Linked DNA regions of Saccharomyces cerevisiae S288C. Each later gene encodes a partner of the first gene's protein in a complex. Each region holds a gene or a part of one and is shown in the gene's direction. Other genes may lie near its edges.

What was found.
Region 2: SMC2 (region 1) and YCG1 share a complex: the UniProt entries of both Saccharomyces cerevisiae proteins name them as parts of the condensin complex.
Region 3: the proteins of SMC2 (region 1) and BRN1 are in contact, whole or in part, in a cryo-EM structure (PDB 6YVV), measured with the Saccharomyces cerevisiae proteins. Residues at the interface, in NP_116687.1 of Saccharomyces cerevisiae: Ala169 (codon at 4,141), Gly170 (codon at 4,144), Thr171 (codon at 4,147), Lys172 (codon at 4,150), Glu175 (codon at 4,159), Arg178 (codon at 4,168), Glu179 (codon at 4,171), Glu182 (codon at 4,180), Met185 (codon at 4,189), Ser186 (codon at 4,192), Glu189 (codon at 4,201), Arg196 (codon at 4,222), Leu199 (codon at 4,231), Ile203 (codon at 4,243), Lys206 (codon at 4,252), Leu207 (codon at 4,255), Asn992 (codon at 6,610), Lys995 (codon at 6,619), Met1003 (codon at 6,643), Lys1005 (codon at 6,649), Thr1006 (codon at 6,652), Lys1009 (codon at 6,661), Asp1010 (codon at 6,664), Met1012 (codon at 6,670), Lys1013 (codon at 6,673), Glu1016 (codon at 6,682), Lys1020 (codon at 6,694), Tyr1024 (codon at 6,706), Lys1025 (codon at 6,709), Glu1027 (codon at 6,715); in NP_009455.3 of Saccharomyces cerevisiae: Trp49 (codon at 2,159), Ile54 (codon at 2,174), Phe57 (codon at 2,183), Tyr58 (codon at 2,186), Leu60 (codon at 2,192), Leu63 (codon at 2,201), Glu67 (codon at 2,213), Asn68 (codon at 2,216), Asn69 (codon at 2,219), Ile70 (codon at 2,222), Phe72 (codon at 2,228), Gln73 (codon at 2,231), Ala75 (codon at 2,237), Ser76 (codon at 2,240), Leu79 (codon at 2,249), Asp80 (codon at 2,252), Cys82 (codon at 2,258), Ile83 (codon at 2,261), Tyr86 (codon at 2,270), Ser87 (codon at 2,273), Arg89 (codon at 2,279), Val90 (codon at 2,282), Val93 (codon at 2,291), Thr94 (codon at 2,294), Thr97 (codon at 2,303), Leu100 (codon at 2,312), Leu101 (codon at 2,315), Leu104 (codon at 2,324).

What each region holds. Positions count from the first base shown.
Region 1 is NC_001138.5:213,358-223,742, reverse strand, and holds SMC2 (condensin subunit SMC2), read left to right. Parts: upstream 1-3,636; coding exon 3,637-7,149; downstream 7,150-10,385. Other genes in the region: MIN10 (Min10p), read left to right, coding at 1-33; 60S ribosomal protein eL29 RPL29, read left to right, coding at 306-485; RRT5 (Rrt5p), read left to right, coding at 784-1,653; 60S ribosomal protein uL2 RPL2A, read left to right, coding at 2,325-2,328, 2,476-3,236; MET10 (sulfite reductase subunit alpha), read right to left, coding at 7,324-10,385. UniProt on the Saccharomyces cerevisiae protein: Central component of the condensin complex, a complex required for conversion of interphase chromatin into mitotic-like condense chromosomes.
Region 2 is NC_001136.10:1,112,540-1,123,167, forward strand, and holds YCG1 (condensin subunit YCG1), read left to right. Parts: upstream 1-4,586; coding exon 4,587-7,694; downstream 7,695-10,628. Other genes in the region: PEP7 (phosphatidylinositol-3-phosphate binding protein), read right to left, coding at 1-1,488; small subunit rRNA maturation protein UTP4, read right to left, coding at 1,894-4,224; YSP2 (Ysp2p), read right to left, coding at 8,070-10,628. UniProt on the Saccharomyces cerevisiae protein: Regulatory subunit of the condensin complex, a complex required for conversion of interphase chromatin into mitotic-like condense chromosomes.
Region 3 is NC_001134.8:38,817-44,115, forward strand, and holds BRN1 (condensin subunit BRN1), read left to right. Parts: upstream 1-2,014; coding exon 2,015-4,279; downstream 4,280-5,299. Other genes in the region: BNA4 (kynurenine 3-monooxygenase), read left to right, coding at 329-1,711; MRX3 (Mrx3p), read left to right, coding at 4,461-5,273. UniProt on the Saccharomyces cerevisiae protein: Regulatory subunit of the condensin complex, a complex required for conversion of interphase chromatin into mitotic-like condense chromosomes.

The sequences.
Region 1 (10,385 bases):
TCGCCCATTGGAAATGCAGGTAGCCAAATCTGAGGTGCGCTGAGTGGCATATAGTGGAGGATATAAAGAAAAAAAGAGAGAAGGGAAAATAATGGAAAGTTACCAGTGTTTGAACTTATAGCGAACGCTCTTTCTCGAACGTTCAATTACCTTTAGCATACCCTTGTTCGAAGTTGCCCCCGCTAGCACCACTTCAGATTGGCAGTTAGCTGCCACGCTACTCCCCTCCACCGTTATGAATCATTTTTACTAACCTTTAATGACCATTCGCAATTTCTGCGTACATTCATCGTCTTCTCCAGAAAATGGCTAAGTCTAAGAACCATACCGCTCACAACCAAACCAGAAAGGCTCACAGAAACGGTATCAAGAAGCCAAAGACCTACAAGTACCCTTCTTTGAAAGGTGTTGATCCAAAGTTTAGAAGAAACCACAAGCATGCCCTACACGGCACTGCTAAGGCTTTGGCTGCTGCCAAGAAATAAACTTTTTAAGATTATAATACGTTAAAAATTTACATATTATTTTGTCTGATTTTATATAACATGTTTTATTATCTTAATTGAAGGAAAATTTATCTCAATATCCAGTACCGTTTTCTTTTTTTATTTCTTTTTTTTTTTCTTTTAATTTTCTTTTTCCTCCTTATGTGCCACAAAATGGAAGCGTCACAAATTAATAACAAAAGATAAATGATGTATAAAACAATGGTGTTGACCTTCTACTGAGTAGCAACACATAGAGAAGTATAAGGCCTCACATAAGCATACAAACAAGCCCGCAATGACAGAACAAGTTAACAATGACACTACCAGTGACACTACCACTACCATTACCACAGTTTACATTTCGAACCTGCCATTCACGGCGAGTGAGCGAGACCTACATGCCTTCCTAAACAACTATGGCGCCAGTTCAGTGTTGATTCCAACGCAGACCGTCCGCAGATTCAGCAAAAGGCACAATAGCAACCCTCGCAAACCACTAGGCATAGCATTTGCCCAGTTCGCAAACAATACTCTGGCTTTGAAGGCCATTCAAGACTTGAACGGAACCGTTTTCCAAAATCAGAAACTATTTCTAAAGTTACACGTTCCTTACGAGGCAGACTCTACTCCAGACACGGATGTAAAGAAGCCCAAAGAAAAAAATAAGGTTAAGAAGACACCAGAGACTGCCGCGGATACGGTTTACTGTCACGACCTGCCAGACGATATAACCGACAGTGAGATCCGTGAGTTGTTCCAGCTCTACTCGCCTCAAGAAATCTGGATTTACAGGTCCAAGGTGTACAGGAGAAAGTGTATTCCTTTTGCTCCACACCAAATTACTGCCGCTTTGGTCACTTTGCAATCTGAAACCCCAATTGGGGACATTTGTGACAGTGTGGCCAAGACAGCTACTTTGAGGGGCAAATCGATAATAGTGAAGCCCGCTTACGTCTCTAAGATTCAAGAAATTAAACAATTGGTCAAGGACAACTTAACCAATGCGCGCGACCCACCTCCAGCAGCATTGGCAGAGCCAGCGCCAGCGCCAGCGCCAGTAGAGCCAGCGGAGCAAGTGCAGGAAGGGCAAGACAATGCGGAAACCAATGATGTCCCACCTCCGCCTGCTTCGTCTTCCGATCGTCCAACCGTGGCTGCTACTTAGATCTTTATAAAATTGAAAAGGGGGTATAAACAGTGAGAACTTAACATAAAATACATATATTCGTTTATTGCTAAGTAAACTAAAATTGATCTATTATTTTTCTTTTCTTTTCTTTTGCGGCTGGGGGAACCCCTTTTAAGACAAAATAAGACTTTTTTCACCCGTACATTTTTAACACCCAATTCCTTTCCGGCTCCAACTTTCTTTTTTTTTCGAAAATGATGAGCTTAGTCCTGCGTCCGCTTCCCAAAGAAAAAATGCGTAAGCCTCTTTCACTTCGGCAGCTCACTCTTCCCACTTTCCCTGTATTCGAAGGTACCGTAGGCAGAGGCCTATCCTCATTCTCCCACTGTGTAAACTAGGCGTTCTGCCTAGCGGCTAAGCGTTCTCCGCGTATTGTTTCACCGTTGGGCCTACGGTCGATGGTTTGGCATTGCTCTGCACGATCAGATCAATCTGGAATAGTATGGGAATTGCCAAACGCAGCACCAGTGCACATGGATGTGAACCTATGGATTACTACGCAATGCACTATCGCATAGGCATAATCGATTGAACCCTGCCCCTCCCCTCCTTCAATATCATTACCTCGTTTTTTTTATTATTGGGTCATTTTTTAGCGACTAATAACCATTTCTGAGCAAACTAAGAAACCATTAGATCAATAAGCAATGGGTATGTCAGCACCGTGATTTAACAACCATGTGATTGTCGTAATGGCGCAATGTCATCACACCCTTTTACAGTCTTTTTATTCCTTTTGTTGAAAATGTATCGTGTATACTAACAGAACTGTGTTTTTTCTCATTATTTTTTATTCAGGTAGAGTTATTCGTAACCAAAGAAAGGGTGCTGGTTCTATCTTTACCTCCCACACCAGATTGAGACAAGGTGCTGCCAAGTTGAGAACTTTGGATTATGCTGAACGTCACGGTTACATTCGTGGTATCGTTAAGCAAATTGTCCACGACTCCGGTAGAGGTGCCCCATTGGCCAAGGTTGTCTTCCGTGACCCATACAAGTACAGATTGCGTGAAGAAATCTTTATTGCTAACGAAGGTGTCCACACTGGTCAATTCATTTACGCCGGTAAGAAGGCTTCTTTGAACGTCGGTAACGTCTTGCCATTGGGTTCTGTCCCAGAAGGTACCATTGTCTCCAACGTTGAAGAAAAGCCAGGTGACAGAGGTGCCCTAGCCAGAGCTTCCGGTAACTACGTTATTATCATCGGTCACAACCCAGACGAAAACAAGACTAGAGTCAGATTACCATCCGGTGCCAAGAAGGTTATCTCTTCTGATGCCAGAGGTGTCATCGGTGTCATTGCCGGTGGTGGTAGAGTTGACAAACCATTGTTGAAGGCTGGTCGTGCTTTCCACAAGTACAGATTGAAGAGAAACTCTTGGCCAAAGACCCGTGGTGTTGCCATGAATCCAGTTGATCACCCTCACGGTGGTGGTAACCATCAACATATTGGTAAGGCTTCTACCATCTCTAGAGGTGCTGTTTCTGGTCAAAAGGCCGGTTTGATTGCCGCCAGAAGAACTGGTTTGTTACGTGGTTCTCAAAAGACCCAAGATTAGATTATGTAAAATAGTCATTCTTTAAGCAAGATCTAAAAAAAAAAAGATAACTCAAAAAATTCCTCAAAGCAAACAATACAATATAACATAACACTTATTTTTAAAGAAAAATTTCTAAATTAGATTTTGTTCTGTAGTAATAGAATATTTCTTCAAAGTAAACTTTAATATACTCTCATAAGCTCCCCCCTTCTCCCCTGTGAAGCATTGCTTCATGGAGGGGGTTGACTTCTTGAATAAAATGGCTTTCTGCCTTACGCGTTTATAGTGATTACCGTGTTGCGTGGCTCTGATGATGGGCATTTCTAATTTTAAGATCAACAACAGTAAACACACGGTGCAGTCAAGAAATCTCGAGGCAGACCACGTAAATACAAGTCAATTTTAGTATCGTTACCGCATGAAGGTAGAGGAATTGATTATTGATGGTTTCAAATCATACGCTACAAGAACAGTCATTACTGATTGGGACCCTCAATTCAATGCTATTACAGGTCTAAATGGGTCCGGTAAGTCGAACATTTTGGACGCCATTTGCTTCGTGCTCGGTATAGCATCAATGAGCACTGTGCGAGCATCTAGCCTGCAAGATTTGATCTATAAGCGTGGTCAAGCAGGTGTTACCAAGGCAAGCGTAACCATTGTTTTTGATAATACCGATAAATCAAATTCTCCCATTGGGTTCACTAACTCTCCTCAAATCTCTGTTACAAGGCAAGTCGTGCTTGGTGGAACTTCTAAATATCTGATAAATGGGCATAGGGCACCTCAACAGTCGGTTTTGCAACTATTTCAATCCGTGCAGTTAAATATCAATAATCCTAATTTTTTAATCATGCAAGGTAAAATTACCAAGGTTTTGAATATGAAACCCTCAGAGATCTTATCACTGATTGAAGAGGCAGCAGGGACAAAAATGTTCGAGGATCGTAGGGAAAAGGCAGAAAGAACAATGTCTAAGAAAGAAACTAAATTACAGGAGAACAGGACTCTGTTAACTGAAGAGATCGAACCTAAACTGGAAAAACTTCGAAACGAAAAGAGAATGTTCCTAGAATTTCAGTCTACTCAGACTGATTTGGAAAAAACTGAACGAATTGTTGTATCCTATGAATACTATAACATTAAACATAAACATACATCAATAAGAGAAACTCTGGAGAACGGTGAGACTCGTATGAAAATGTTAAATGAATTTGTTAAGAAAACTTCCGAAGAAATAGACAGTTTGAATGAGGATGTCGAGGAAATCAAACTTCAGAAAGAAAAAGAACTACACAAAGAAGGCACAATCTCCAAGTTGGAAAATAAGGAGAACGGTCTTTTAAATGAAATTTCTCGTTTGAAAACTTCACTGTCGATAAAAGTAGAAAATTTGAATGATACTACTGAAAAATCAAAGGCTCTGGAGTCAGAAATTGCAAGTTCCTCTGCAAAGCTAATCGAAAAAAAATCGGCATACGCTAACACTGAAAAGGATTATAAAATGGTGCAGGAACAACTCAGTAAACAAAGGGATCTTTATAAACGAAAAGAAGAATTAGTTTCCACTTTAACCACAGGTATTTCCTCGACCGGTGCCGCAGACGGTGGTTATAACGCACAGTTGGCCAAGGCAAAGACTGAGCTGAATGAAGTCTCCTTGGCGATAAAAAAATCAAGCATGAAAATGGAGTTGTTGAAGAAAGAGCTATTGACAATTGAACCTAAATTAAAGGAGGCCACGAAAGATAACGAGTTAAATGTGAAGCATGTTAAACAATGCCAAGAAACGTGCGATAAACTACGAGCCCGACTAGTCGAATATGGGTTTGATCCATCACGAATTAAAGACCTGAAGCAAAGAGAGGATAAATTGAAGAGCCATTATTATCAAACATGTAAGAACTCTGAATATTTAAAAAGACGCGTAACAAATCTGGAATTTAACTATACGAAACCTTATCCTAATTTTGAAGCCAGCTTTGTCCATGGGGTGGTGGGTCAACTTTTCCAGATAGATAATGATAATATTCGCTATGCTACTGCTTTGCAAACTTGTGCCGGAGGTAGGCTATTCAATGTTGTTGTTCAAGATTCTCAGACGGCCACTCAGCTATTAGAAAGAGGAAGATTACGCAAGCGTGTTACCATCATACCTCTTGATAAGATATATACGAGGCCAATAAGTTCTCAAGTGCTTGATTTAGCCAAGAAAATTGCTCCTGGGAAAGTTGAATTGGCAATAAATTTAATAAGGTTTGATGAATCTATCACTAAAGCGATGGAATTTATTTTTGGAAATAGTTTAATCTGTGAAGATCCGGAAACAGCAAAGAAAATTACCTTCCATCCAAAGATCCGCGCTAGAAGTATCACCCTTCAAGGTGATGTATACGACCCAGAGGGTACATTGTCTGGTGGTAGTAGAAATACCTCTGAATCGTTATTAGTTGATATTCAAAAATACAATCAAATTCAAAAACAAATTGAGACCATTCAGGCTGATCTCAACCATGTAACGGAAGAGCTACAGACGCAATATGCTACATCGCAAAAAACAAAGACCATTCAAAGTGATTTAAATCTCTCGTTGCATAAATTGGATTTGGCTAAGCGTAATCTCGACGCGAATCCATCTTCCCAAATAATTGCTAGGAATGAAGAAATTTTGAGGGACATTGGAGAGTGTGAGAATGAAATCAAAACCAAGCAAATGAGCTTAAAGAAATGTCAAGAAGAAGTTTCGACCATTGAAAAAGACATGAAGGAGTACGATAGCGATAAAGGATCCAAGTTAAATGAATTAAAGAAGGAATTGAAACTATTGGCGAAAGAGCTGGAGGAGCAGGAATCGGAGTCAGAACGTAAATATGACTTGTTTCAAAACTTGGAATTAGAAACAGAGCAATTGAGCTCAGAACTAGATTCTAATAAGACGCTATTGCATAACCATTTGAAATCTATTGAAAGTTTGAAATTGGAAAATTCTGATTTGGAGGGAAAGATACGAGGTGTTGAAGACGACCTTGTAACAGTCCAGACAGAACTGAACGAAGAAAAGAAAAGGTTGATGGACATTGATGATGAACTAAATGAATTAGAAACATTGATAAAGAAAAAACAGGACGAGAAAAAAAGCAGTGAATTAGAACTACAAAAATTGGTCCATGACTTGAACAAATATAAGTCTAATACGAACAACATGGAAAAGATAATTGAAGATCTGCGACAGAAACACGAATTTCTTGAGGATTTTGATCTGGTGAGAAATATCGTCAAACAAAATGAGGGTATCGATTTGGATACTTACAGAGAAAGGAGTAAACAATTGAACGAGAAGTTTCAAGAGCTCAGAAAAAAAGTTAATCCAAATATTATGAATATGATAGAAAATGTTGAGAAAAAGGAGGCAGCATTAAAAACAATGATTAAAACGATTGAAAAAGATAAGATGAAAATCCAAGAGACTATATCGAAGTTGAACGAATATAAAAGAGAAACTTTAGTCAAAACATGGGAGAAAGTGACACTTGATTTTGGTAATATTTTTGCAGACCTTTTACCAAATTCATTTGCAAAATTGGTTCCATGCGAAGGTAAGGACGTAACGCAGGGTTTAGAGGTTAAAGTAAAGCTTGGTAATATATGGAAGGAAAGTTTGATTGAATTGTCCGGTGGGCAAAGGTCGTTGATTGCTTTGTCATTGATTATGGCATTGTTGCAATTTCGACCAGCGCCTATGTATATTTTGGATGAAGTTGATGCTGCTCTTGATTTAAGTCATACGCAAAATATAGGTCATTTGATTAAAACAAGGTTTAAAGGATCTCAGTTCATTGTAGTCTCGCTTAAAGAAGGTATGTTTGCCAATGCTAATAGGGTCTTCAGGACGAGATTTCAAGATGGTACCTCCGTAGTTAGTATAATGTGATGGTTAGTTTTCATAAGACAAATAAATATTGTAATGTAATCATATTTCAATAATTTTCTATTTGGCAGCCAATAGAAAAGCTTGCGCATAGAAGAAAACTAAAAGTAAAAAAAAAATAGAAATGTTCAAGACAGGTTCAATAAATAGATATTTAGTTTTTATTACTATATTAATTTAGTAGACTTCTAAAATGTATCTTGATGCTTCCTTTAATTCTTCAATTGCGGCATCCAAGTCGACTTTGATGCCTCTTTCCTCGGCGTCTTTAGCCAGAATGTCTTGCAAAGCTTGAGTAATATCTGGAACTGGCCAAGTAGGGCCACACAAGTAAAATGAACCTTTATTATCAATCATTGCAGTTTTTAATTCATCCAAATTCTCTTTGATACGATCTTGAATGTAAATTTTTTGAGGTTGGTCTCTTGAGAAAGCAGCGCCGATGTGTGTGATAATACCTGCATCTTTGTAAGCCTCCCATAACTCACCATATAAATATTCTTCTCTTTTGTGTCTTGAACCTAGATATAGGAAGACTTCACCAATCTCATAACCTTGCTGCTTTTGCCATAATTTCTCTTCAACAATGGCCTTGAATGGTGCCAAACCAGTACCTAAACCACTCATAATAACTGGTTGCTTTGGAGATGGTGGTAATTTCATAACAGATGGTTTAACGCTAACGACCAATTCTGAACCGACAGCAAGGTCTGAGATATACTTAGAAGCTTGACCGTACCTTTTTCTTCCTTTATTATCCACCCAATCAACAACAACGATCAATAAATGAACTTCATTTGGATGAACTTTCTGAGAGGAGGCAATTGAGTATTCTCTTCTCTTCAATGGTTCAATGATAGTAACAAGTTCCTCAAGAGATGGGCGAACAGATGGGAACAATTCAAAAATGTCAGCATATGTATAATACTCCACATCTTGAAATCTCTTCAAATCTACTGCACCGGCAGGAGTAACCAAATCCTCTAATTTTTTCTTCTCCTCTTCGTTAGAGGCATATGGAATCAATGATTCGTAAAATCTTTTTGGTGGTTTACCGAAAATATCCAAATTTTCCACAAATGCTTGTAAGACGGTTCTTGTTTCTAACAAATGGTGGTTGTCCTTGTTGGGGACTAAGACAACATCGGATTCATTTAGACCATAGAAGGTTAAGAATTCTTTGACCAAAGATTCATTGTTTCTGGCATGAATACCGAGGGCTTCACCGATGTCATAAGTCATTCCAGTACCAGAAATATCGAATTCAATATGGAAAATATATCTATCATAATCAGCAGGCGTAACACGTCTATTTTCTTTAACTTTCACGACGAAGTTCTTGACGGGTAAATCGGGTCTTAGTTTATTCTCAACTTCATATGCCTCTTTGAAGGACAACTTCTTGGCAATATCAGAGATCTCAGAGGTCTCAGGTAATGGTATTTCTTCAATGGTACTGTTATTTGGGAGGAAAGATGTTTCATTAACGAAAATTGGTAAAGCTGCAGGCTCTTCCTCATCCTCTTTCTTTTCAATGTTTATTTCAGAAAATTTAGTGTACAGCGCTAGCGGAACCTCACTGAGGAAGTTTTTGAATGCACCAGTGAGAAATTCAGAAATCGAGGCTGCTGAAATGTCTGCACCTGAATCAATGCTTTTCCAGATACGGTTGGTACATTCTGCGACATCTAGACCGAAGGCCAATTTCCAGAAAACGGCTTGGATAAACAAGGACAATTTGGACTCGTCGTTAGTGGTCTCACCATCGATGATAAACAATTTGATGTTTTTCTTCGCAATAGATATTAGGAATGATTCAGGAATTCCCAAATTCTTGACGTAACTTTCTACAGAATTTAAATCCAAATCTTTAACTGCCTTTTGGGAAACCAACGCAATTGAACCTTGTTCTGCGACGGTAGCAGCTACGTCTAAATGCTTCAATAAACTGACATCTTCAACGACTGATAATTTCGTAGAATCGATGTTTGAAACAGGTATCTGTTCTTTCGAGGTCACAAATTGAGCTTGGAAGGTACCAGCATTAGCCAAGTTATCAAATTTCGTTCTCAAAGACACAAATTTCCCATCTTCCAAAGACAGAGCTTTCACAAGTTTGGAGGCAACATCAATATTGATACTCTTATCAGAGGCCCAATAAATGAATCCTTCGCCGAAAGATGAATCGGCATTGTAAGTGAATTCAGGGATGAATGACGATACAATTGATTTGACAGCTTTTGGGGACCAAATGAAATCTGGTTGATAGATGTACTCAGAAACGCTAATTGAGGTGCGGCCGTGGTAAAATAAGGCGGCTGAAACTTGAGATCTCAAGAAAGAAGGCGAAGAACCATCCAAAGTTTGGCCTATAACAACAATTTGTTTGGTAGTGGATGGAACGTGAGTGACAAACTTAGCAACGTTAAAAGGTAATGGCACTCTGACGTTGATTAACCCGATTTTGGAATTATTACCACTAATCGCAGAGTTGAACAATTCGGATTCTAAAGACCCATAAGTGATAAACACAGTTTCAGCATCCTGAGCACCAAAGTATTGGAAATTATGTAGTCTCAATCCAGTCAATTCATTAAACTTATCCAAGACATCATCAAAGGCAGCATCTGGTGCAATAACTTTGGATAGTTTTGCCAAAATAGATGCCTCAGGAACAGATTCGACCAACGGCAAGACGGTTTTCGAGTAGTTTAATCCGTCAAATAAATTGATAGCTCCGGAGTTATTACTGAAAGTGGCAATCGCCAATGCCAGTAAGGCGACACTTTGTACCTCGTTAGCGGAAATCGGAGTCACGACACCATACTTCAGCTTGGAAGCAGCATCCAATGCGGTTACATAATCGTTGGTGACAGAGCCGGTAGCATTGTCGTAGTTTAAAGCACCAACATTCAAAAGAAACTTACCATCATGAGAGACGGTTTTCAAAGAGTTAATGAAGTATGGCAGCGAAAACCCTGGAGCAACAATTGCTGTAGTGTTCTTCAATCCATGAGAAAACCCTAAAGGAGCCAAACCAGCGCCAGATCTGATATCCAGCTCTTGGAAAAATGGCTTCCCACGTGATTCGTTACCACGCTTTTCAGACCATTTTTTTAGATCTTGGTGTAGCAAATCGGGTTGAGAAAAGGACTTGTAAGCAAAAATGGAGTCCACGTTATTGAACAGCACAGATGAAATGGCAGTTACGGGTGTACCATATTTTGGCAGTGAAGTTG
Region 2 (10,628 bases), on another chromosome or scaffold:
TTCTAAGTTCTTATTAAGTGTGACGATCTCCTCCAATCTACGCTGCTTCTTATAGTCCTGAATTGTGGACTCAATAAGGTAGCTTTGTTCCTTTAGGACCATCAATTCTTCTCTCAGCTCTTTCACTTCTTTTATGGTCAAGTTTTCGATCATTAGTTGCGATAATTTCTTTACCTCTGGTTCAGCTTTTTGCCCATCTTCATTCGTTTTATGGCCCTCTGGGTTCAAAATTGCCGGAAGCGACTTCAACGGTAGGATTTTTTCGTTTATGTATGCAGCGGAAGCTATCTTGATCGAATTTTGAAGTTGTCTCTCTAGATGACTTTGAGGTTCTACACTTAAGAGCTGTCTTGTTAGTGTATTATACAAGTTAAAAGAATTGAGTAATTTATGTCTTAATCGAGCGAGATCATTCAGATTCTTTGGATCAAGTGTATTTTCAGAATCCTTGGCAGTCTCCACCTTCAGGCTATTCAATGAGTCTTCAAAAATGGGCAGGAGACTATCAATTACTTTGGATATATTTTGCATGCTATCATATTTAGCAAATATTCCACTTAGCGGCATTCTAACGTCCTTGTTAAATTTCCTGCCAATAAATAGCATATCGATACAGTGCGAGCACAATCTTATGGATATAGGAATATGAAGTAAATCATCCTTCTGTATATTGTATTCGAATGGCAGATCTGACGCTGCAGACATTAAATAACCTATGCTTATTTCGTTTGAGCAGTTCCTGTTTGCATCATCACAAACAACCATACCACATAATCTGCAGTGATGCTTCCTTAGTAATAGCCCAAATGGTTCGGAACATATGTTACAAAAGAGTACACTTCTATCATCTCTCCATGGAGTAACTGTACGTTCTAACTTGGACATTTCACTATTCATCTTCAAATTATGAATAATGGATCTAGAATATGTGTTATAGAGTGTAATCAGACCATCAACTAGACGGACAAACCGATTTTCTAATTGTAATAGCCTTAAGTTTTTGTCCTCTCTTTTTATATTTCGTACCTTAAAGAATTCTGGTGTTAAATCTATTACTTCGCCATAATCGTTATAGCCAGGTTTTGTGACGAAACAATCATGGCAGCAATTGTACCATTTCCCGTTTCTGGGGTCATACTGTGCGGAAAGATTAAGTTTAATCATATTAGGAAGATGCCTTCTGCAATACAGTTTACCACATTTCCTACAATTAATGGCGCCAATATTGTTATTCAAAGTCCTTCCACATGTGTGACAGCAGCTCTTCCCTTTTTTGAATTTTTCCCAATGGCTTCTTTTCAACTTTTGCGCACTGCTATCAACAGATCTGGCCTTTTTTTGTTTACCATTGACTAAACGACTGTCATTGGAACCGAGTGAATCTTCATTATCGTTAAACCCATGCTCAACATCTAAATGTGCATTTAGTGCTTGTAAGTTATCAAACTTCCTTAGACAAATGGGACATGAAACATTTTCAAGATCCATAATAGATAAGTCGCCAGGAAATTCGGTGATATCCCTTTAAAAACCATGAGATCCGGCTTTGCTCTTTAGGTCGGTCAATTTAGCTACTGATCATATGTTTTCATTATTCTATTGTTTTCCCAAAGTATTACCCTGCCTGGAAATAACAGTGATAGCCAGAGTGATTCCATCGCCAGTACTTTTGTAATTCAGGAATACATTTATACCAATAAATGGCTCACATTTAATGTCTGCATACGTGATTACTACATATATATGTCTGCGTATGTGCTTGGCTATTTTACATTAGCGAGTTTCTATAAAGTACTAACGCCATTAGAGTTTTTTGTAACTGAAAAATGCCCTTAGAGTATGATAGCCTTTTAATAGCATCTCTCTATTCTTCGGTATGTTGACTTAAATTAATCAAAACACTAACTTTGGTTGAATAAACGCCTTTTGTTTGGAGTGAAAAGTTAATGGATTTCTTTCAATTATTGCCAATTCATTACTAGAAATTAAGTCAACAAACAGTAAAGGTTTATATTTATCAGTAAAGAAGAAGTGACCGGAGCTTTCTTCGTTTCTTTGTACATCTGTGGACTTTATTTTGTTTCCTTGGTTTAATAATACATTCAAGTTTTCGCTGATTTCCATATCAATATCGTCATCTTCGTCATCTTCCTCGTCGTTCATGAAATTACTTTCATCTGTGATAGTTAGCCCTTCGTGTGTACGTTTTTTCTGTTTTCTTCTCTTATTTATAGGGAAGTCAACATCAAAGTCTATTCTTGATATCCAAGTAGCCCCCCAAAACCATAATCTGCTACTATTTTCTATGTCTGAAAATATCCCTACACAGTTCTCTTTTAATGTCTTCCATTCTTTTGGTAAGTTATCCGTATTGTTTTTTGACCATTGAGTTAATACGCTTTCGCTATCTTCATTCTCGGCTTCCGAATTCAAATTCATATTGAATTCATAAATCTTATTGTCTGCAGTAATTACTACTACAGATTTTCTAGAAGTATTGATATGAACAGCGGTGATGAAATTATTCAAACGAGCAAGTGGTTTAGAAATCCTTGCTTTTAAGTCTAATATGTCTACGACTCCACAGCCACGAGAAATTACTGCAATGTTCTGGTCTACTTCCAAATGGTTGATCCTGTTAATATAGGGAACTTTGATACTGCTCTTAGTTGAAGTAACCTCCAAAAGTTCAACTTCTTGCGGTTTTTCATCTTCTTCAGATTCTAGATCCACAATAAATACATCATCTTCGCAAGAGCATATGACAATTTTGGAATTATCGATGAACTTGACTAATTTTGTGGAAGTTCTCAATAATAGGTCATTATCTAGTTTAGTCACTTTCAATTTATTACCTACGGGCTGTAAATGAAAAACTTTAGTGGTAGAGGGCCTCCCTACGACTAAAACTTGTCCATCAGGTGATAAAGAACAAGTTGAGATATTCTGGTCATCTTTTAAAGTTAACTTGCAAACTAGCTTATAATTCTGTTCTGTACTAGAATCGGTTCCCATTGTCCATATCTTAACAGTAGATTCGCTCCATGAAACAACAAGGCGTTGCTCTTTGTTAACTAAAACATTCTTTGAATAAGGTTCGACAGTTGGCATCTTCCTGTAGTTTCCATTAGAAAAAGAAGTAAGTGAGTTGATGACTAGTGTTTTTTCAACACCTCCTGAAACTAGAAAATCTGCACCTTTAGATTGGTATGCACATATTGCTCTAATGTCGTTTCCATGAAGCAACCTATTAGAAGAATTTACCCATCTGTTGTTCTTTTGAGATTTGTTAGTGTTTTGAGAAAATTGAAAGATTTTTCTGTCCACACCAGCACTAAAAACATAATTATTATCAGTATCGGTAGTTAGACACAGTACGTCTGCATCGTGCGCCTTAAATGACTGGTTTAGCGTGGCAAACTGGAAATCCCAGAATTTAATGGAGCCTGTAGAATCACCAGAGGCAATCTGATCAGTTCTTGGTAAATATATAACTGACCAAACTAGAGTTGATTCTTTTTTGGCCTTGTCGACCTTCATAGTGTGTAATAGACGACCCATGTTTTCGTCATTTTTTTGTGCAGACCAAATCCTTATTCTACCATCAGAACAACCACCAATCACGAAGTCATCCTTTTTCCAAGCCAAAGTCAATACTCTGGCTTCTTGTCTCATCAAAATAGTATCGTGTTCCAAGACACCAGGCCCGCCAGAGATATCTATGAGGACCACCGTCCCATTATCGCAACCCACAGACAGCTTGTCTTGTGAATCGTTGATGGAAATAGACCATATCACACCTGAATTGCAATCATAGTTTCTTAATGGTAAACCTGTTGCTAAATCCCATTCTGTTACCACAGTCGAGCCGCCAATAGAAAATAGCCTTAGAGACTCGCCGTTAACGTTGCTCCAGCAAAGGCCTTCAATTGATCTGTCTTTGCCACCTTCGATAACCATTTCCTGAAACCAATTGTTTCTAGGATTCCAGATTTCTATGTTACCATTAGATCTACCAATAGCTAATCTCAAATCGGACGGAGTTAACTTATTTATATTTGATTTATGTGAAAATGCTAGAGATGTGATTGTGGCAGGAGTGAAATCCACAAATCTGCATCTATGCACTATCATCCTTTCCTGACTGGTCATCTTCACCGGTTTGTTTCGTATTTTCAGGCTTCTTGACTTTTCTTTTAAAACTGAAAGTAGCGATGAGCTCATTCGTAGCTTTTTTCTTGTCAGTCTGAAAATTTTTCATTTGGTTTTTTGAAAAAAATCCTGCCTAATATGGTATCAAGAGGAATAACAAGAAAAAAAAATCATGGGGGATACAAAGGAAAACAAGGAGATAATGCAGGTTATACTGAATTGCTCATAGTATTAGCCTAAAGCACTTTACCTCTGATTTATTGCATCTATCGTATTCTTGAGTTATTGCGACTTTTAAAATCCGTGCACCGCATATGAAAGGGTAGAGCCTTCGTGTTTGTTTACCTTTTTAGCTCTTTGAAGATCAAACAAAAACACTTCAGTAATGCCTACAGCCTTGGATAAGACAAAGAAGTTAACAGGCCGCGCCCATCATGCAAGATCCTGATGGTATTGACATTAATACGAAAATCTTTAACTCAGTTGCTGAAGTATTTCAAAAGGCACAGGGTTCTTATGCAGGACACAGGAAGCATATAGCAGTTTTGAAGAAAATTCAGTCAAAGGCTGTTGAGCAAGGCTATGAAGATGCTTTTAACTTTTGGTTCGATAAATTAGTTACTAAGATCCTTCCTCTGAAAAAGAATGAGATTATCGGAGACAGGATAGTAAAGTTAGTAGCTGCATTTATAGCTTCTTTAGAAAGGGAGTTGATATTGGCCAAAAAACAAAACTATAAGCTCACGAATGATGAAGAAGGGATATTCTCAAGGTTCGTCGATCAGTTCATAAGACATGTTTTGCGTGGTGTGGAAAGCCCTGACAAGAACGTCAGATTTAGAGTTTTACAGTTATTAGCCGTTATAATGGATAATATAGGGGAAATCGATGAATCACTTTTCAATTTATTAATATTGTCTTTAAATAAGAGGATTTATGATAGAGAACCAACGGTTAGGATACAGGCTGTGTTTTGTTTAACTAAATTTCAGGATGAAGAGCAAACTGAACATTTAACTGAGCTTTCTGATAATGAAGAAAATTTTGAAGCTACGAGAACTCTAGTTGCTTCTATCCAGAACGATCCGTCAGCTGAAGTACGGAGGGCTGCAATGCTGAATTTGATCAATGATAATAATACTAGACCGTATATCTTGGAGAGGGCTAGAGATGTAAACATCGTTAATAGAAGGCTCGTGTATTCGAGAATTTTGAAATCAATGGGAAGAAAGTGTTTCGATGATATTGAGCCGCATATTTTTGATCAATTGATTGAGTGGGGTTTAGAAGATAGGGAATTATCAGTGAGAAATGCGTGTAAGAGACTCATTGCTCATGATTGGTTAAATGCTCTGGATGGCGATTTGATAGAATTACTAGAAAAATTGGATGTCTCAAGATCCTCAGTGTGTGTTAAGGCTATAGAAGCACTTTTTCAATCAAGGCCAGATATATTATCTAAAATCAAATTTCCTGAAAGTATTTGGAAAGACTTTACCGTAGAAATTGCCTTCCTCTTTCGGGCTATTTATTTGTACTGTTTGGATAATAATATAACAGAAATGCTGGAAGAAAACTTTCCAGAAGCCTCAAAATTATCCGAGCATTTAAACCATTATATTCTTCTCAGATATCATCACAACGACATTTCTAATGACTCTCAGTCGCATTTTGATTATAACACTTTAGAGTTTATTATTGAGCAACTATCGATTGCCGCCGAAAGGTATGATTATAGCGATGAGGTTGGAAGGAGATCGATGCTTACAGTGGTACGAAATATGCTGGCCTTAACTACACTCTCCGAACCTCTTATTAAAATTGGTATTCGTGTAATGAAAAGTCTGTCCATAAATGAAAAAGATTTTGTAACAATGGCAATAGAAATCATTAATGATATTAGAGACGACGATATTGAAAAACAAGAACAAGAAGAGAAAATAAAAAGCAAGAAGATTAATCGCAGAAATGAGACTTCCGTCGATGAAGAGGACGAAAACGGCACACATAATGACGAAGTTAACGAGGATGAAGAAGACGACAATATTTCATCCTTCCATTCTGCTGTAGAAAACTTAGTGCAGGGAAACGGCAACGTATCTGAGAGTGACATAATAAATAATCTCCCACCCGAAAAGGAAGCGTCCTCAGCAACAATTGTTCTCTGTCTTACAAGGTCATCATATATGCTAGAACTAGTTAACACACCGTTAACAGAAAACATTTTAATTGCGTCGTTGATGGACACTTTGATCACACCAGCGGTTAGAAATACCGCGCCAAATATTAGGGAGCTTGGTGTCAAGAACCTTGGTTTATGTTGTCTCTTGGATGTGAAGTTGGCTATTGATAACATGTACATCTTAGGTATGTGCGTTTCGAAAGGTAATGCATCATTAAAGTATATTGCGTTACAAGTCATTGTAGATATTTTTTCCGTACATGGGAACACTGTGGTAGACGGAGAAGGCAAAGTTGACTCAATCTCGTTGCACAAAATATTTTACAAGGTTTTAAAGAATAACGGTTTACCGGAATGTCAGGTGATAGCAGCGGAGGGTTTATGCAAACTATTTTTGGCAGACGTGTTCACTGATGATGATTTGTTTGAAACGTTGGTTTTGTCATATTTTTCGCCGATAAATTCCTCAAACGAAGCGCTGGTACAGGCATTTGCCTTCTGCATTCCAGTCTATTGTTTTTCACATCCTGCTCATCAACAACGTATGTCTAGGACGGCTGCGGACATACTCTTAAGACTATGTGTTCTTTGGGACGATTTACAGAGCTCTGTAATACCTGAGGTAGACCGTGAAGCTATGCTAAAGCCTAACATAATATTTCAACAGTTGCTATTTTGGACTGATCCACGTAACTTAGTTAACCAGACAGGTTCAACAAAAAAAGATACAGTGCAGCTTACATTCTTGATCGATGTGCTCAAAATATACGCTCAAATTGAGAAGAAAGAAATAAAGAAGATGATCATCACTAATATAAACGCTATATTTCTTTCTTCTGAACAAGATTATTCTACTTTGAAAGAACTTCTTGAGTATTCTGACGATATTGCAGAAAATGATAATTTAGACAATGTTAGCAAAAATGCTCTGGACAAGCTAAGGAATAATTTGAATTCGCTGATTGAAGAGATCAATGAAAGGTCAGAAACTCAGACAAAAGATGAGAACAACACTGCGAATGACCAATACTCGTCTATTTTGGGGAATTCATTCAATAAATCTTCAAATGACACCATAGAACACGCTGCTGATATAACTGATGGAAATAACACAGAATTGACTAAAACAACTGTTAATATTTCGGCAGTTGACAATACAACAGAGCAAAGTAACTCAAGGAAAAGAACGAGATCAGAAGCGGAGCAAATTGACACATCCAAAAACCTGGAAAACATGAGTATTCAAGACACGTCAACTGTAGCAAAAAATGTAAGTTTTGTTTTACCTGACGAGAAATCAGATGCAATGTCCATAGATGAAGAAGATAAGGATTCAGAGTCTTTCAGCGAGGTCTGTTAAAATTGATATGCGAGCTCTTCATCTATTTAAGTTGATTTTTTGGTTGTAAACATATTTGTATTTTATTCTTAGGTTTGTTAATTCTTCTACGCTTACCAGATATAGATGCTATATGTTATTGCATTACGCACATTACCCGGTGGGACAAATTATGGAAATATTCCAAGGCTATAAATTCTTTGGTGAAAGGAACTGAAATTATGTCCAGTAATGCACCAGAAATGGACATATAAAACTATTAATGCATTTTATTACAATTATCCTAAGAAAATATCCTATATATAATTAAAGTAAAAGAAATAAGATCAAAAGAACAAAATAAAGTCGAGTAGAATTTTCCTACTTGACTATATTAGAACGAAAAATGTTATTTTATCAAAGTAATTGGTTAGTAGCCGACGTGTTATCCGTTTGGGCCAATAATTCTTTCATTTCTTGCAGCTGCAATTCGGTGATTTTTATAGATTCAACTAGCTGCTGTATTTTATGATCACTAACTCCATTTACGAGCTTAACCTTCTTGTTATTACTCTCCTTAATATGATTGGACAAGACACTATTTTGAACGGTTCCATTTCCACGATCTATCAACCAGTCCCATATGAGACCCTCCGTATCGGTGACTATGTTATTTTTATTCGAGTCTTTACGGCGGGCATCTTTTATAATATTATCTTCGTAAACATGATAGAGTGTTTTAAAATTAGGAACGTAATTATATTCATTTCCATTAATTAAGATTGTTCCTGGAGTAATAATCTGGATGTTCGAAGTATTCTTAGAATGGAATAATAATCTAAAGAAGAAAATCAAGCAAATAAAAAAAGAGATAATTGTCATAATTCCTTGAACGGATGTTATGTTTACTTGTTGTAACATTGAGAAAGCGGAAAAAAATGAATTTTTGGTACTTGTATCTTCGAAGTTTTCTTCATTCTTCTCATTCTTGATAGTGGATGGTGATGATTTCCTTTTATTTACCGTCTTTCCTCTTCTCCTCGATTTTTTCTTCGTTGAACTAGCATTAGAAATTATTTTTTTGAGATCATCTACGAGTTGCTTTGTTGAACTTCTTTGTCCATCAATTGAACCTTTCTCAATGGTTCCTTTCAGCATTGATTTACCTGTCCAGACAACATTGGTGACAACTTTCATGTTCGTTGTGTTGTGATCACCCCAGGAATAGAAAAATCTCGTATGTACTGAAAATGAACTACCGTAAGGAACATCCGGAGATCTGACTATTTGTTTTACCATAAAAAAACTGTTCAAATCCATATGCTCGATGGTCTCTGTGACTATACATTTAGTTTGCTTCGGACCGAATGAATTGTTCAATTTTTTGGTATAGGTGATCTCTCTTGCGTTATTCACAAACTTTGGAATATCACAAACATTAAAGTTATTCTGGTTTTCGATGATTTTCTTAATATATGATGTGTCATCACCATACAATAGTGAAAACACTGTTCCTAAAGGAACTGGTATATTAATTTTTTCATCGATAACTGTATCGTCTTTTCCTTTTTGAAAATCAGGTTCCGTCGGATCATGAACTGGAGGTCCAATAGTTGGCAGATTAATAATTTCTTCTTCTGATTCATTATTGCTGGCTTGATGCTTTGAGTTTATGTTTGAGTCTTCATCACTTAAGATTTTCTTAATTTCAGATATCATTATCTTTGTGGTGTCCGCAACACCATCAAATGTTCCCTTTTCAATCATACTTTTGATCCAACTTTTACCAGTCCAATCAACAGAATTGTAAACTGTTAATTTGGTGGAGTTGTTTTTATCCCAAGAGAAAAGGAAAACAGTTTTCACTGAAAAGATATTCCCTGAAGGAACATCCGGGTTCTTGGTAATACTGAGCACTTTAACATAGTCTTCCAAATCATAATGCTCTAAAGTATCTGTGATCAAACATTTTGTTTTACTTGGACCAATGCTGCCTGATAACGGTTTCGTATATGCATAGTCACGAATTTTCTTTGTGAGGAAATTGTTAGGGATTGGCGATATTTCAAAATTTTTCTGAGCTTTAAGGATCCTTTCATAGTAAGAGACGTCTTCACCGTATAAAAGATTTACTACTTTTCCTAATGGTGCATTAATATTTGCTTCAATAACCAAATGATCATTATTGGAAGGTTTGAAATCAGCAGTGGTTGGAGAGTGTTTATTGGGACCCAATAAGTAGTTCGTAGATTTTTGGTTTTTACCAAGATCATTTGATTCATTGAAAACATCAGCATCAATATCGTCACTAGATGTCATATCTGTGCTATTAATATCAGGGTCATCGTCATCCAGGTCTCCATCGTCGTCATTGTCATCGGAATCATCAAAAAATGCACTGCTCGAATCGCTTATCGTACCGTCGTCATTATTACCGAAGCCATTCCTATATTTTTTACCTAAGATGATCTGATTCCATACATCTGTAATTAAATCAAAGGTAGCATCCCTTGACATAAAAGAGGCGAAGATGTACTTTGTATGCAACGTATCAATTACAATACCATTGGGGAAAATTCCGGCGGTAGTCTTTTTCTCAATCTGAACGATTTCCTTAAACGGAATGAAAACTGTACTGACCCATCCCAAAATGTTTGAGAAAAATCCAATGTGTGCATCAGATATATACATCCTTCCTTGTAAAAGAATATCACGAGATAGTGCACAACTATGATCGACAATTAACTTTTCGTTAGGATTAATATCGCAGTCCTTGAAAAGGGTATGAAATTCGCTGTTTTTCTTTTCTGAAGCATATTCAATACCTTCTAACTTGAAATCATCATTGCCAGAATCCAAACCCATTATTGCATGGATATTACCTGAGCCCGCAGTACTTGTTCTTGGCATTTGCTGTCCCTGATTTGTACTAAAGAAATCAGAACTACTATTCCTATTTTTGTTGAATGAATTTCT
Region 3 (5,299 bases), on another chromosome or scaffold:
AAAAATCTAAATATCTTAGAATTTTTTTATTTTGATTATTATATATTATTATTATTCTTATGGTAAATAATGCCCCTACTTTTCTTCTAAGGAAATGAGTTACTACAAAAATAAGGAAATATCGCCTGCAAGCGGTTTTTATTTTGGAGTTGTTTTTTTTTTTCCCACAATAGCCTCTAGTTTATTCCATTCTTAGCACTGACTCTTTTTTCCGCCACTATTTCTTATAAAAGGCCCGAATTTCTGGCACGGACGTTGTTTTTAATAATAAAATATTGAATGACAGTTAAAAAATCACGTAGTCAGTTAATCTGTTTAACTTGAAAATATGTCTGAATCAGTGGCCATTATAGGTGCAGGATTAGTAGGCTGCCTTGCAGCTTTGGCATTCTCCAAAGAAGGCTACAATGTCACACTATATGATTTTAGACAAGATCCTCGATTGGACACCACCAAAAATAAAAATTTGAAATCCATTAATTTGGCTATTTCTGCTCGTGGCATTGATGCTCTGAAATCAATAGATCCGGATGCTTGTGAACATATTCTGCAAGATATGATTCCCATGAAAGGCAGGATGATTCATGACTTGAAAGGCAGACAGGAATCACAATTGTATGGCTTGCATGGAGAAGCTATTAATTCTATCAATAGATCTGTATTAAATAATAGCCTTTTGGACGAATTAGAAAAATCTACAACAGAACTGAAGTTCGGTCACAAATTAGTCAAAATCGAATGGACAGATGATAAACAAATCTGTCATTTTGCCATTGGGGAAGATTTGAAAACCCCACATACTGAAAAGTATGATTTTGTCATAGGTTGTGACGGAGCATACTCTGCGACGAGATCGCAAATGCAACGTAAAGTTGAGATGGATTTTTCACAAGAATATATGAATTTACGTTACATTGAACTTTACATCCCGCCTACTGAGGAATTCAAGCCAAACTATGGCGGAAATTTTGCAATAGCTCCTGACCATTTGCACATTTGGCCTCGTCATAAATTCATGTTAATTGCGCTCGCCAACAGTGACGGCTCGTTCACTTCAACCTTTTTCGGTTCTAAAGATCAAATATCAGATCTGATAACTTCCAAGTCACGTGTGAGGGAATTCTTAATCGAGAACTTTCCCGATATTATTAATATTATGGATTTGGACGATGCTGTCAAAAGGTTTATCACTTATCCAAAGGAAAGTCTTGTCTGTGTAAACTGTAAGCCATACGATGTACCAGGCGGAAAGGCCATCCTACTCGGCGACGCTGCCCATGCAATGGTTCCATTTTACGGCCAAGGTATGAATTGCGGATTTGAAGATGTGAGAATTCTTATGGCGCTATTGAAAAAGCATTCAGGAGATCGTTCAAGAGCCTTTACTGAGTACACTCAAACAAGACATAAGGACCTAGTTTCTATTACTGAGCTGGCAAAAAGGAACTATAAAGAAATGTCACATGACGTTACATCCAAGCGGTTTTTATTAAGGAAAAAGCTAGATGCTCTCTTTAGTATTATAATGAAGGATAAGTGGATACCTTTGTATACAATGATATCTTTCAGATCCGATATCTCGTATTCTAGAGCTTTAGAAAGGGCTGGAAAGCAAACACGTATCTTGAAATTCTTAGAATCTCTGACACTCGGTATGTTATCTATTGGCGGTTACAAGCTTTTCAAATTTTTGACAAGAGAACGTTCCTGAAGCCAGTTTATTCTTGCCATCCGTGTACGCTAGGAGAGGATTATTAAAATAAGTGATATATACATATATATATATATATATATATATATAATACACTAATTATTTTATGTGATGTTGATCACGCGAAACGGTAAACGGCTCTGTTCGCGCTTTCTTTGTTTACATTTTAGTGAAGTATTGTCAAGATAATATCCATATGGTTGAACTTTTTATATTGGCTAGTTAAATACTCTATTTATTGCACCAAAAAATCATCTTAGTGGACTTTTTGGAGCAAAAAAAACCAGCAGGTAGTTATATAAGATGACTACACAACTAAGGTATGAAAATAACGATGACGATGAAAGAGTAGAATATAATCTCTTTACCAATAGATCCACCATGATGGCAAATTTTGAAGAATGGATCAAAATGGCTACAGATAATAAAATCAATTCCCGAAATAGTTGGAATTTCGCATTGATCGACTATTTTTATGACTTGGACGTTTTGAAAGATGGCGAGAATAACATCAATTTTCAGAAAGCATCTGCAACCTTGGATGGGTGTATTAAGATTTACTCTTCGAGAGTTGATTCAGTGACAACGGAAACAGGTAAGTTATTGAGCGGGTTGGCACAAAGAAAGACGAATGGGGCATCTAACGGAGATGACAGTAACGGGGGAAATGGTGAAGGGCTTGGAGGTGACAGTGACGAAGCAAATATAGAGATTGATCCCTTAACTGGTATGCCTATATCTAATGATCCTGATGTGAATAACACTAGGCGGAGAGTGTACAACAGAGTTTTAGAAACAACATTGGTGGAGTTCGAAACGATCAAGATGAAAGAGCTAGACCAGGAATTAATAATTGATCCATTATTCAAAAAGGCCTTGGTTGATTTCGATGAAGGTGGCGCCAAGAGTTTATTGTTGAACACATTAAACATAGACAACACTGCAAGAGTCATTTTCGATGCATCAATTAAGGATACACAAAACGTAGGGCAAGGTAAACTTCAAAGGAAAGAAGAAGAATTAATTGAAAGAGATAGTTTAGTAGATGACGAAAATGAACCTAGCCAGTCATTGATAAGTACTCGTAATGACTCAACCGTAAATGATTCCGTTATTAGTGCACCTTCCATGGAAGATGAGATTTTATCTCTTGGTATGGATTTTATAAAATTTGATCAAATTGCGGTGTGTGAAATTTCAGGATCGATTGAGCAACTAAGGAACGTTGTCGAAGATATTAATCAAGCGAAAGACTTTATCGAAAATGTTAACAACAGATTTGATAACTTCTTAACTGAAGAAGAATTGCAAGCAGCTGTCCCAGATAATGCAGAAGATGATAGCGATGGCTTTGATATGGGCATGCAACAGGAGCTGTGCTATCCAGATGAAAATCATGACAATACATCACATGATGAACAAGATGATGATAATGTCAACAGTACCACAGGAAGTATATTCGAAAAAGATTTGATGGCATACTTTGACGAAAATCTAAATAGAAACTGGAGAGGGAGAGAACATTGGAAAGTACGAAATTTTAAGAAAGCAAACTTAGTGAATAAAGAATCCGACCTGTTGGAAGAAACGCGAACTACTATAGGAGATACTACTGACAAAAACACAACGGACGACAAATCGATGGATACGAAGAAGAAGCATAAACAAAAAAAGGTTCTGGAAATTGATTTCTTCAAAACGGATGATAGTTTTGAAGACAAAGTCTTTGCCTCAAAAGGAAGGACAAAGATTGACATGCCGATTAAGAACAGAAAGAACGACACACATTATTTACTGCCGGATGACTTCCATTTTTCCACTGATAGAATAACAAGATTGTTCATTAAACCGGGGCAGAAAATGAGTCTGTTCAGTCATAGGAAGCATACCAGAGGCGACGTTAGTTCGGGGCTTTTTGAAAAAAGCACAGTTTCTGCCAACCATTCAAATAACGACATTCCTACTATTGCAGATGAGCACTTTTGGGCGGATAATTACGAAAGGAAAGAACAAGAGGAAAAAGAAAAGGAGCAGTCTAAAGAGGTTGGTGATGTGGTGGGTGGAGCGCTCGATAATCCGTTTGAAGATGACATGGACGGTGTTGACTTCAACCAAGCTTTCGAAGGAACAGATGATAACGAGGAGGCCAGTGTGAAACTTGATTTACAGGATGACGAAGATCATAAGTTCCCCATTCGAGAAAATAAAGTTACTTATTCAAGAGTTTCGAAAAAAGTTGACGTAAGAAGATTAAAGAAAAACGTATGGAGATCGATCAACAATTTGATACAAGAACATGACAGTAGGAAAAATAGAGAACAAAGCTCTAATGACAGTGAAACCCACACAGAAGATGAATCAACAAAGGAGCTCAAGTTTTCTGATATCATTCAGGGTATAAGTAAAATGTATTCGGATGATACACTAAAGGACATTTCAACAAGCTTTTGTTTTATATGCCTTCTACACTTAGCCAATGAGCATGGGTTGCAGATAACTCATACCGAAAACTATAATGACTTGATAGTGAATTATGAGGATCTAGCGACAACACAGGCAGCGTCATAGTTGATGATCTTTTTTTTTTTTTTTTTTTTTTTTTTTGTGCTGCAAAGTTTCTTAAAGCCTTCGGGCTTACGAAATCCTTTATCGCCGAAAGGGGACCGCTTCGAAAAGTGGATATAAAACAAGGTATTTATTTTTATAGACAATGACCAAATGACAGGATAGATCGAGGGTGAGTTCCAATATGTCCAGAACTATTCCATTTCTATTTAAATTAGTCAACAGGGCAGTAATTTTGCCTACGGCAGGTTTTACATTAGGAGTTGGTGCGTTTGTAAAGGCGTGGCCCGATGATGCCGGTGTTCTATCATTGAATGATCCGCAAACGCCAGCGGAGTTGATTAGTGCGACCAAGAGCCGCCAACCTATGGAGCTGCAGAGGGTTGACATCCTCGCTCAAATCGAGAAAAGCGAGGTTTACAACAAGTTGGCCCAGGATGAGAAGATGCACCATGTCTTATTCAGTGAGAAAATACCAAGCGGGCATAGGGAATATCATGTAGGACAAGGCCTCTTGTTCGGCAAGGGGAAGCTTGAAATTGATCCTTTGGTGTTCCATGATGTGAATCACGGTGAATTAACCGTGATTTATCACTTAGGTGCTGAGTTAGGGAATCGAGACGGTAACGTCCATAAGGGCTTGTTGTCATTGTTGCTGGATGAAGCATTGTGCTATTGTGGCTTCCCTTTGTTGCCTAGTAAAAGAGGTGTAACTGCAAGGCTGTCGCTAGAGTTTTTTGAGGACATTCCTGTAGATACTACGATTATACTAAAAGCAAACGTCAAAGAGATTAAAGGCAGAAAGTGTATCATTGAGGGACACTTGGAACAGTTTCCGTTGGAAGTTTCTTCTCGAAATGGAACTAGAAGTTGGAACTTACCACATATTTGGGGTTTCAACCATAAGCAGGAGATGGCAAAAAAATTTGCCAAGGCCAATTGTATTCTCGTTGAGCCTACTTGGTTCAAATATTTTAAATGGCTTGATATGTTTTGAAAAAGCATGCCTGTCTCAAAATAGCC